2 linked regions of the Coturnix japonica genome follow. The protein of the gene in region 2 interacts with the protein of the main gene of each other region in a biochemical or structural test. Links are inferred from orthologs where the notes say so. Each region holds a gene or a part of one and is shown on either strand. Other genes may lie near its edges.

The links.
Region 1: the proteins of SNTG1 (region 2) and PLEKHA1 form a complex in vitro, tested with the Homo sapiens proteins (2 studies listed by BioGRID and IntAct, with this or other methods). The link is inferred for Coturnix japonica from reciprocal best matches to the Homo sapiens genes SNTG1 and PLEKHA1.

Annotation. Positions count from the first base shown.
Region 1 is NC_029521.1:27,852,593-27,856,407, reverse strand, and holds part of PLEKHA1 (pleckstrin homology domain-containing family A member 1), read right to left. Parts: intron 3,630-3,815; coding exon 3,566-3,629; intron 2,319-3,565; coding exon 2,229-2,318; intron 1,194-2,228; coding exon 1,119-1,193; coding exon of another isoform or gene 1,089-1,118; intron 1-1,088. UniProt on the Homo sapiens protein: Binds specifically to phosphatidylinositol 3,4-diphosphate (PtdIns3,4P2), but not to other phosphoinositides. May recruit other proteins to the plasma membrane.
Region 2 is NC_029517.1:98,331,174-98,335,681, reverse strand, and holds the start of SNTG1 (gamma-1-syntrophin), read right to left. Parts: upstream 3,066-4,508; 5' UTR 2,636-3,065; intron 1-2,635. UniProt on the Homo sapiens protein: Adapter protein that binds to and probably organizes the subcellular localization of a variety of proteins. May link various receptors to the actin cytoskeleton and the dystrophin glycoprotein complex.

The sequences.
Region 1 (3,815 bases), on a different chromosome or scaffold from region 2:
AAAATTTTCTGTGTTAGTACAGGGACTAAAGAAATCAGCAAACCCACGTGTGTACACAAATCAAGGCACTTTTCAAGCACTTCATTAGCCAAAATATATATCCTAAACGAAATACTTGATTTTCTCAAAGTTTCTTTTAGAATGCTATCACAGTGATTTATACATGTAATCATAATGGATCCTGCTAAATAACATCATATTTCTTTTTTATATGAATTAATAGCACAGGATGAAGGAGTCATTCATCTTTGGACTTCAATTTTGTGCTCAAATTCAGTGGTGTTACATATTAATTACACTGCTGTATTTCACACCTGACTTGACAGTTCACTTCAAGACAAATGTTTGCTTTAGGAGTCTGTATGACTCAGTATGTTACTACTGCCCTTCTTTTTAACACTACTCACAGATGAACACGCAGGACAGCAATCAGGGAACCAAGGACAAGATCCCTCTACAGAAAGCTTTCTGATTATATCAGCCAAAGGATACTCGGATTTTACTACCCACACTGACTAACTCCACCTTTAAAAGACTTTGTTGCTATGTTACTCTCCAGCTGTACTGCTTTGAACAGCCATCGTACATTACAGCGCTTCTACGTTTGAACTAAATTTCATGCAGACACTTATAAGCCATGCAGATCAGGCTGCAGTTATTATCTTTCCAATTGCCAGAGTTAAGACGTGCATTTTTTGTGTGCACGCATCTGCATTAGTTTGTGGGGAGCTGAAGTTTAATTTTGCTTTTGCGCAGTTCCAAAAACAAGATGTAAAGTAAAATGGAAATATGAACTCTCATGCAAATCAGCTCTTGTGCTTTCATTTCCAAATCATATTACATCATTTACTGTGTTTTAATGCATATTCTGGTTTGAAGTACAAATAAATGCTTTTGTCACTTTTTGATTCCAATTATTTTAAAAGCAAGAAAATACAGTGCAAGCCTGTAAGTGAATGATGTAATTTACCAGTTAGTTTTCAGTAATGGTAACAGGTAGCATTATTTTTAGTTTCTTAATAGCGCAAATTAGTCTCTAGTTCTAAGCCCTCTGTTAAGAAGGCAAGTTTCCATGAGAGCCCACATACGTGCTGCATTCACCAGTTCTTGATGTATACCTCTGTATACAAGGATTCGACAGCCTTCTGGCCTGCCGCATCTGGAACACAGTGCAAAGCTAAGATTAGAGTAACCTATACTTGGGGAAAGAAGAGAGGGAAAAAGAAAAGTGATGCAGACAGTAACAGCGAGGTTGCTCAGTTAGCCCCACGAAGGAAACAAACCAGCATACACAAAGAAAAGTTATCTGCGTATTTTCATACCCCCCAAAAGTAACAAGATTTAACATAGCAATTTTTTATTTAAAGCCAGCTCTCAGCTGCAAAAATAACTGACAGCTTTGGCTCTGTTGACAGAAACATTGATGCAAAAATATGTAGTCAGGTGTCAGATTGAAGTTACTGGATTTCAGGTGATGGGGGTGATGACATATTCAGCTTATTACAAAACATCCCACAGCCAGAAAGTGAAAAAGCATACCTTGCAGCATCTGAACTGTAAAAGTATTCCATTTGTTCTATCTGGCCATACTTGAGGACACTGTGACGCAGTTTAAATGCAAGCATGGATGAAATGCTGTCATCCACGCAGCTTCACCAACATGAAGATCTGTCACAGTGCCTCAGTTCAGAAATGCTAGATGGTGTTCACACTACGTCTCCAACAGCAAGATCTAATTCATGCGAGCAGGCATTTCTTCAGAAAGTATTTCAAATGGGAATCTGTATCTGCATATACAGTGAACTACGAGCAACAGACAATGATAATCTAGTAGCGAGAGTTGCTACAAGCACGTTAAGATTTTGTCATTGGAATGCACTATCCAAATATCAAAAATGCCTCGCAGGAATTAGAAAGGTTTGATTTTACTCACAGCAGCATAGCAACAAAAGATCCAACTGAACTCAGACGAATCCTTCTATGTCAGCACTTGCACGACCCACGTGTTCGAGACAGTACAAGGCACATAAAGCAACATATAGATAAGACTAAGCTACGTGCTCATTAAGAACACAAAATAATTTATGCCAGTCCGTAGGAAATTTCATGCAAAGATGCCACGTTACTACAGGACAGAATGGAAGACAGACAAAAGTAAAAATCTAGAACCTCGTGTGCAGAAGTGAACACCAACTAATTGCATTTCTTTAAGTTTCAGAGTAACATACGGAAGCTGCTGATCTTCCAGGTCCCCGCTGTGCTACAATGGCCCCAGAAATTGCTTTTATCCAACTGTGCATGTCTTCTGGACTGTCCGCCTGGATCAAATAACATGGGTTATGTTTAACAAGCAGCTCTTTTTCCAGCGTGCTGACCATCCTCATTAAAATCAGAGCCTTATCCTACTTGAAGGGTCTCTTATTTAAAGCCATATGGACTTGTATTTCTTAAAGCTGATATTCCATAAAAATTTTTCCTTTAATTTACCTTTATATACATATGCTTCTATAAAGTAATAAGCAGCAAGTGTATAAATAAATACACACACACACTATTTTACTTATCCTAGATTCATTTTTTTTTTTGCTAAGTTCAAACAAACAAATTAAACCACCCACGTTAATTCTTACAGGAGATCTGCTGACCTCCCTCATGGGACTCTGCACAATGACAGCTTCTGCATTTTTCAGTCACTTCTATGAGGTAATTACTGAAGAGCTACAGCAAAATAAGAAGCAGTCTATATTCAGGGTCTGCTATACATTTATGTAGAACAAGAGTCTTACACAGATGAAACAGATTAACATATGTATGTATCTGAGACAAAAGAAAAAGCTAAAGCTCCCTCTGTTAGGTTGCATATATATTGACTAAAACTAGCATATACATCATTAAGAAGCATATGAAACATGTCTATTAGATTCTGTTGAGCTGTGAGACTGCTCACAACTCATTTGGCTCCAAAACCTGTATAAAAGCCATTCTAATCCTATAAGAGAAAGCTAGAAATGAATTCCTCCTTCAGAAATAGGAGAAATAGCACTATAAGCATCACACTCCCACACAGCAAAACAATGCAAGTCTTTGAGATTTACGCTAAATCAACTTACACTAAATCAAATTTTAAAAAAAATAAGGAAGAGATGCAGTAAATAATGTGCATACAGATAGATACTGCCAAAAGCACTTTCAGATACAAAACCTAGATGTTCCTGTGCTATTTTCACGTGGCAACTAATTTTAATCTGAGAACTTGATTACTATAAATGAAAATTCAGTACCCTCAAAGTTAAAGGTTTAGTATATTGAGTAGATGCCACAGAATTTGAAGACACAAATACCAACCACATCACATTAGGATTTATTGTTCATTGCTTTCAGACACTAACAACAATTGCTGAGATTTAGAGTATCTCTTTCACCCATCTTCTGAAATATAATGAAAATTGTATTCCCTCTGAAAATCACAGTGCAGTTAAACACAACTTCATAAGACAAATGGCACTGCTTCCTTGCTTTGGCTACATCAACCCCTTGGTTTTACCCAAAGTTTAAAAGAAATTACCTGTACATAAAAGGTTCGAGAAGTAGTTACAATTTCAAAGAGATTGTCTCTCATCATTATATCACTGTAAATGAAAGAAGACAGTTCAACAGGAAGTTCAGCTTTTCCAATTCACTTCAGCACTCTAGAATGTGCAAAGAGCCAAAGCATGTGCTCTTTAGAGACCTCTGCACTCTTCACCACCCTATATATATTTTTTCCTTTAAAAAAAGTTGAAAAAGAAGAGCACCAACTCATTAAGCTTAGCCTT
Region 2 (4,508 bases):
CAAGCAAAACCTTACTGAACTGTTGATAATGTTTAATTTTGCTTACAGGGCTTTCTGTCAGTTGATGCAAGTTATGCGTGACAAGCCAAACAGCACATCTGAGCAAATATGGTGAGAAAAAATTAGGAAAGAAATGTAATATCTTAACCTGAAATCTCTGAATCAAGTCAATATCCTCTCTATTAAAAAGATCTGCATAACATTATAATAAAAATCCCTGCCACAGAGTTGAACGTGCTGTACTTTGGAAATCTCTAATTGAAAAAGGTACAAGCAAACTGTGATAAAGCACATTAGAGAGAAGGCTTGAAAGAGCTTTACAGTAAATGGTACAATGGACATTCTCTAGTTTTTAAAATTAAGAACTATACATAATTTAAACTGAAGTATGTGGAAAAGTTCCAAATCAAAGATAAAGAAAATATCTGAAGATAAAGGGTTTTGATCAGTATCTTAGAAGTCACTGCTTTGTAATTTTATCCTTAAAGACCTCATGTTCTACCTTCCCCCTTTCAAGTCCCCAGCATAAAAAGAAAGGTTTCCTTTTTCTACTAGATTCTGTGAAAACTTGGTTCTTCAGCCATGTAACAATAATTTCTCTGTAAGTGAAAGTCTAGAGCAGCATGTTCTTTAATTCGGTGACGAGGACCTTCATTAGATTATCTCATAGCTATTGGGCAAGATACTGCAAAAGCCAAATGATATATCAGTAAATTATGTTTTCTTCCTCTTGAGGCAAAGAACGAGTATAGCGTTTGATTAATTTGAAGAACTGAAAAGAAATAAAAGGGCTCCATAATCTGTATCAGGAGTGACAAAGCTGACACTATTTTTAAAACCCACTTATTTATAGAATCAACTGTAAGCAGTTAATTATATTAATTGTGGAAATCGCCACTACATTACATAGCCCAAATTAATTCAGATCAGTGCATTCTTCACTGTTTCGTGTTCTCCCTTGCACATGCCTAGTGAAAGCCTGCCACTCTGCAACAGAGGAAGGAATTACTACAACAAAACTGAAGAGCACTTTGTTAAAAATTGTACTTTGTTGATATGACGCAGAAGCTGTTTAAAGTAATGGATTGATTCGTGTCCCAATATCTTTCAACAGTTATTCTAATTGTGTTTCACTGTATCTTCAGGCAGTTAGAAATACAAACCACAGGAAAGCTATCCTGAAATTGCACTGAAACAAATGACATTCCCTTCTGCCTTCTAACCCACAGGGAGCTCCGTCCAGTTACCGGAAAGGCTTACTTTATCTTTCTGCTATAAACTCGAGTTAGTTACTGGCAAGTCAACAGCTTTTAATCCAGTTAGCTTAGCATCTATGTAAAAACATCTGTTGCAGCCCATTAGAAGATCTGCTCCTGTCAGCAAAGCAATGTGCCTTAACCTGAAGAGCTCCAAGACTGCCCCCAAACATCTTTTGCTACAGATCTCTCTGATTAGAAAAAGAAATATCCCAAACTCCTCAGATGTTTCATGCATGCTGACATTTCTGCAAGAGCTTCTAAGACCACAACTTATTTCTACCCTGTGGGTGAGCTATTTCTCCAAGCCTGTACACACACCATATACCTCTGCTGAAACTACTGCGTTCAACTGGCGCTGCCAGAGCTCTTAGTGAAGTGTCAGAGCTGAACTATAAATCTGTATAACTGCTTTTATTCTGTGATACTCCTGTGTTCGAACAGAACGTGCATCAAGGTCACTGTACAGAATTGTAGTTTTCAGGCTCAGAAAGAAGATGCTAAAGAAATCAATACCAGCAAACTTAATTAAACGTAGTCTGAAGTTCTGTCTGCTCCCAAATTGGCACAGGAATCATTTCTCTATCCCCTGCATTCCACAGGCAGGTGCTTTGTAGATAGGGGAAAGCAGGTTGTTAGCTTAAACACTATCTGTGCTGAACAGTGAACAGGAGGGTTTGTCCTCTGCAGCGTGACAGGTCTGTTCAGAGCTCTTTGAGGTTTTAGCAGGAGATCACAGACTCCTGGGCCTGTTCCTGTGGAGTTCCTCCAGGAGCAGAATTAGCCCCCTGCCTGCTGCCCATGCTCTGCATCCTGAACATGTCACGGTCAACTTTCTGTTTCATGGCACTGCCAAGTACGATAATAGGTAGCCACGGGTGAAAGCAAGCAAACAAACAAGACCGAATAAACCATATCCTCACAGCAAAAGCACCTCAGAGGAAATGCCCAGGTAGGACACCAGAAAGTTAAAAGCATCAAAATCAAAACTCCAGCTTTGCTATCTTAATCCCTGACAGGATCTGAAACGCTCACACGCAGCCTGCCGCTGCCAGAAAGCAATTAAGAGTCTCCTACAATTGAGTTACAGCCCAGCAGAAAGGAAAAGGCATTTCACACTAATTCCTGTAAGTCACCATTTGTTGCAGCTGTAAGCGGGCTCCCCGCACCCAGTGCTCCCCCGGCACCGCGGTGCAGCGCGTACCTTTGGGATGCGGGACCGCGCTCCCCTGCAGCCCAGCCCAGCCTGCCGGGAGACTGAACTCCAAACCCGGTGCAGGCAACCAACAGCTGCAAGAAGTCACTCGAGATGCGGGGAGGAAAAAATATATATGCATATATATATTAAAATAAAAACATGAAAGAAAAGGAGCTCTTACTTGCCAGTACACGACCGCCGGGCGACCTCCTCTCAGCTGGTGAAACGGGGTGTCCCCGCTCGTCCTCCTCGGACCGCTCCGTGCTATTTCCAAAATATTTCCCCCGGGCGCCGGCACATCTCCGGGCTCACTAGGAGCGCGCAGGGAGCCCGTCCGCCGCGCCCCCGAGCCCGGTGCCCATGATGCCAGCCGCAGCCCCGGCCACTCGTGCTCCTTCCCTCCGGGGGCTAACACGGCATCACACCGATCTGCCGCCGCCGGCTTCAACTCCTCCGCTGCGCCGAGGGGCAACGAGGGGCTCCCCGCGCCCTTCCCGGAGACGGAGCGGGGCGCCGGGCGGGGGAGTACGGGGAGGCAGCGCCGCCCCTCCGCGGCGGCGAGCGGCCAGGCGAAGCGAAGCGAGGAGAGGAGAGGCGAGGCGGCGCGCCGCCGCCACCGCGGCCGCAGCCCGCCGCGGCGATGCCGGCCCCGCCCGGGACCCCCGCCCGCCGCTCCCGGGGCGCTCTGTGACGCCGCCCCACCGATGCTGACGTGCGGCCCTCCCCCGAGCCGTCCCCTGTGGCGGAGCTGGAGCTCGCCGGGACGCGTGGAAGCCGGGAGCAGTGTTCGGAGAAGGGATGCTGCCCTCCTCCCACCCGCTTCAAACTTCCCGTGCAGTTTCTACTGAGCGGGTACAGAGCGCCCGCTTGCCGGAGAGAAAACATATCGATCCCTATCTCAGTGTTGTGATGGGTTTATGATTCTCACAGAGTCTCTGTCGGCCCGGGTGCGACATCCCCGCTCATTGGAGTCAGCTCCCGGCCCCTGCTCGGGGCTCAACGCGGGGCGGCTGCCGCACACAGCGCCCCGTAGCGCAATGCTACCGCGGGGCGGAGGCGGCACAGAGCGGGGAAATAAACCTCGGGAGAGAAAAAAGGGAACCCCGGGGAGCCGCCTCTCTGCGCTGGCTGCGGGCGCGGGGGAGGAATCACGGTGCTGCCCCTCCCCGGCTTGGGGCTGAAGAGGTCGTCGGGGGGCTCTGCCAGGCGGGGTGGTGAGAGCAGCCGTGGCCTTATCCGCATCCACGTGTTGCGCTATAGCCGAGCGGAGGGTGGTCACAATCGGAAGCCGGGTGAACGGAGCTTAAGCGTTGTTCTCCCGCAGCTGCTCTGCTCGCCCTTTTAGTCTCCACATGTTTCTTAGGCTTTGTAATTCCTTTAGGAATCTTGTGCTCTTCTTCCACAGAGCTGGTGCAAACGAAAATGTTTGTGTTCCTTCTGAATCGCTTTTATAAATATTAACTTCAATAAAGTGCAGTGAGCCATTGAGAGGGAAAAGGATTTTAAAAGCTTCGTGAAAGCTACATGCAGATGCTCTGAAGAATGTAGTTAAGTGTTGACTTGATAAATGCATGAGAATATGCAGTGATAAGTTTCATGCCTAATTGAACAGATTTGTACTTCAGTTCTCATCTAGAGATACAGATCCTTATTTTTCTTCTTTTCTTAATACTGATTGATGTTAACAGAGTTCTTGATAGCTACGAGCTAACCAAGTTATCTGCCCTTTTGTGGCTCTGCTGAAAGATTGAGTGGTGTGAACTGACAGTTCTCCTGACAAGACTGGAAAGAAATGACTACAACAATACATATATTAGAGCTGGGATAATTTAAACACACGTCTGAGAATTGAAATAACTGAAATGTAATTGATTGAAAACTCTTCCATGTCAAACACGGAAATAGAACTGTAACCCTGTGCTCACACATTGTGGAGAAGATCAACGCAGCCCTTGAGAGCACAGTGTTTAAACCAAGTGGATACAAATAGTCCATTAACTGCTAGACCCAATCCCACACTTGATTTCCAATTCCTCTTTCTTGGAGACCCATCT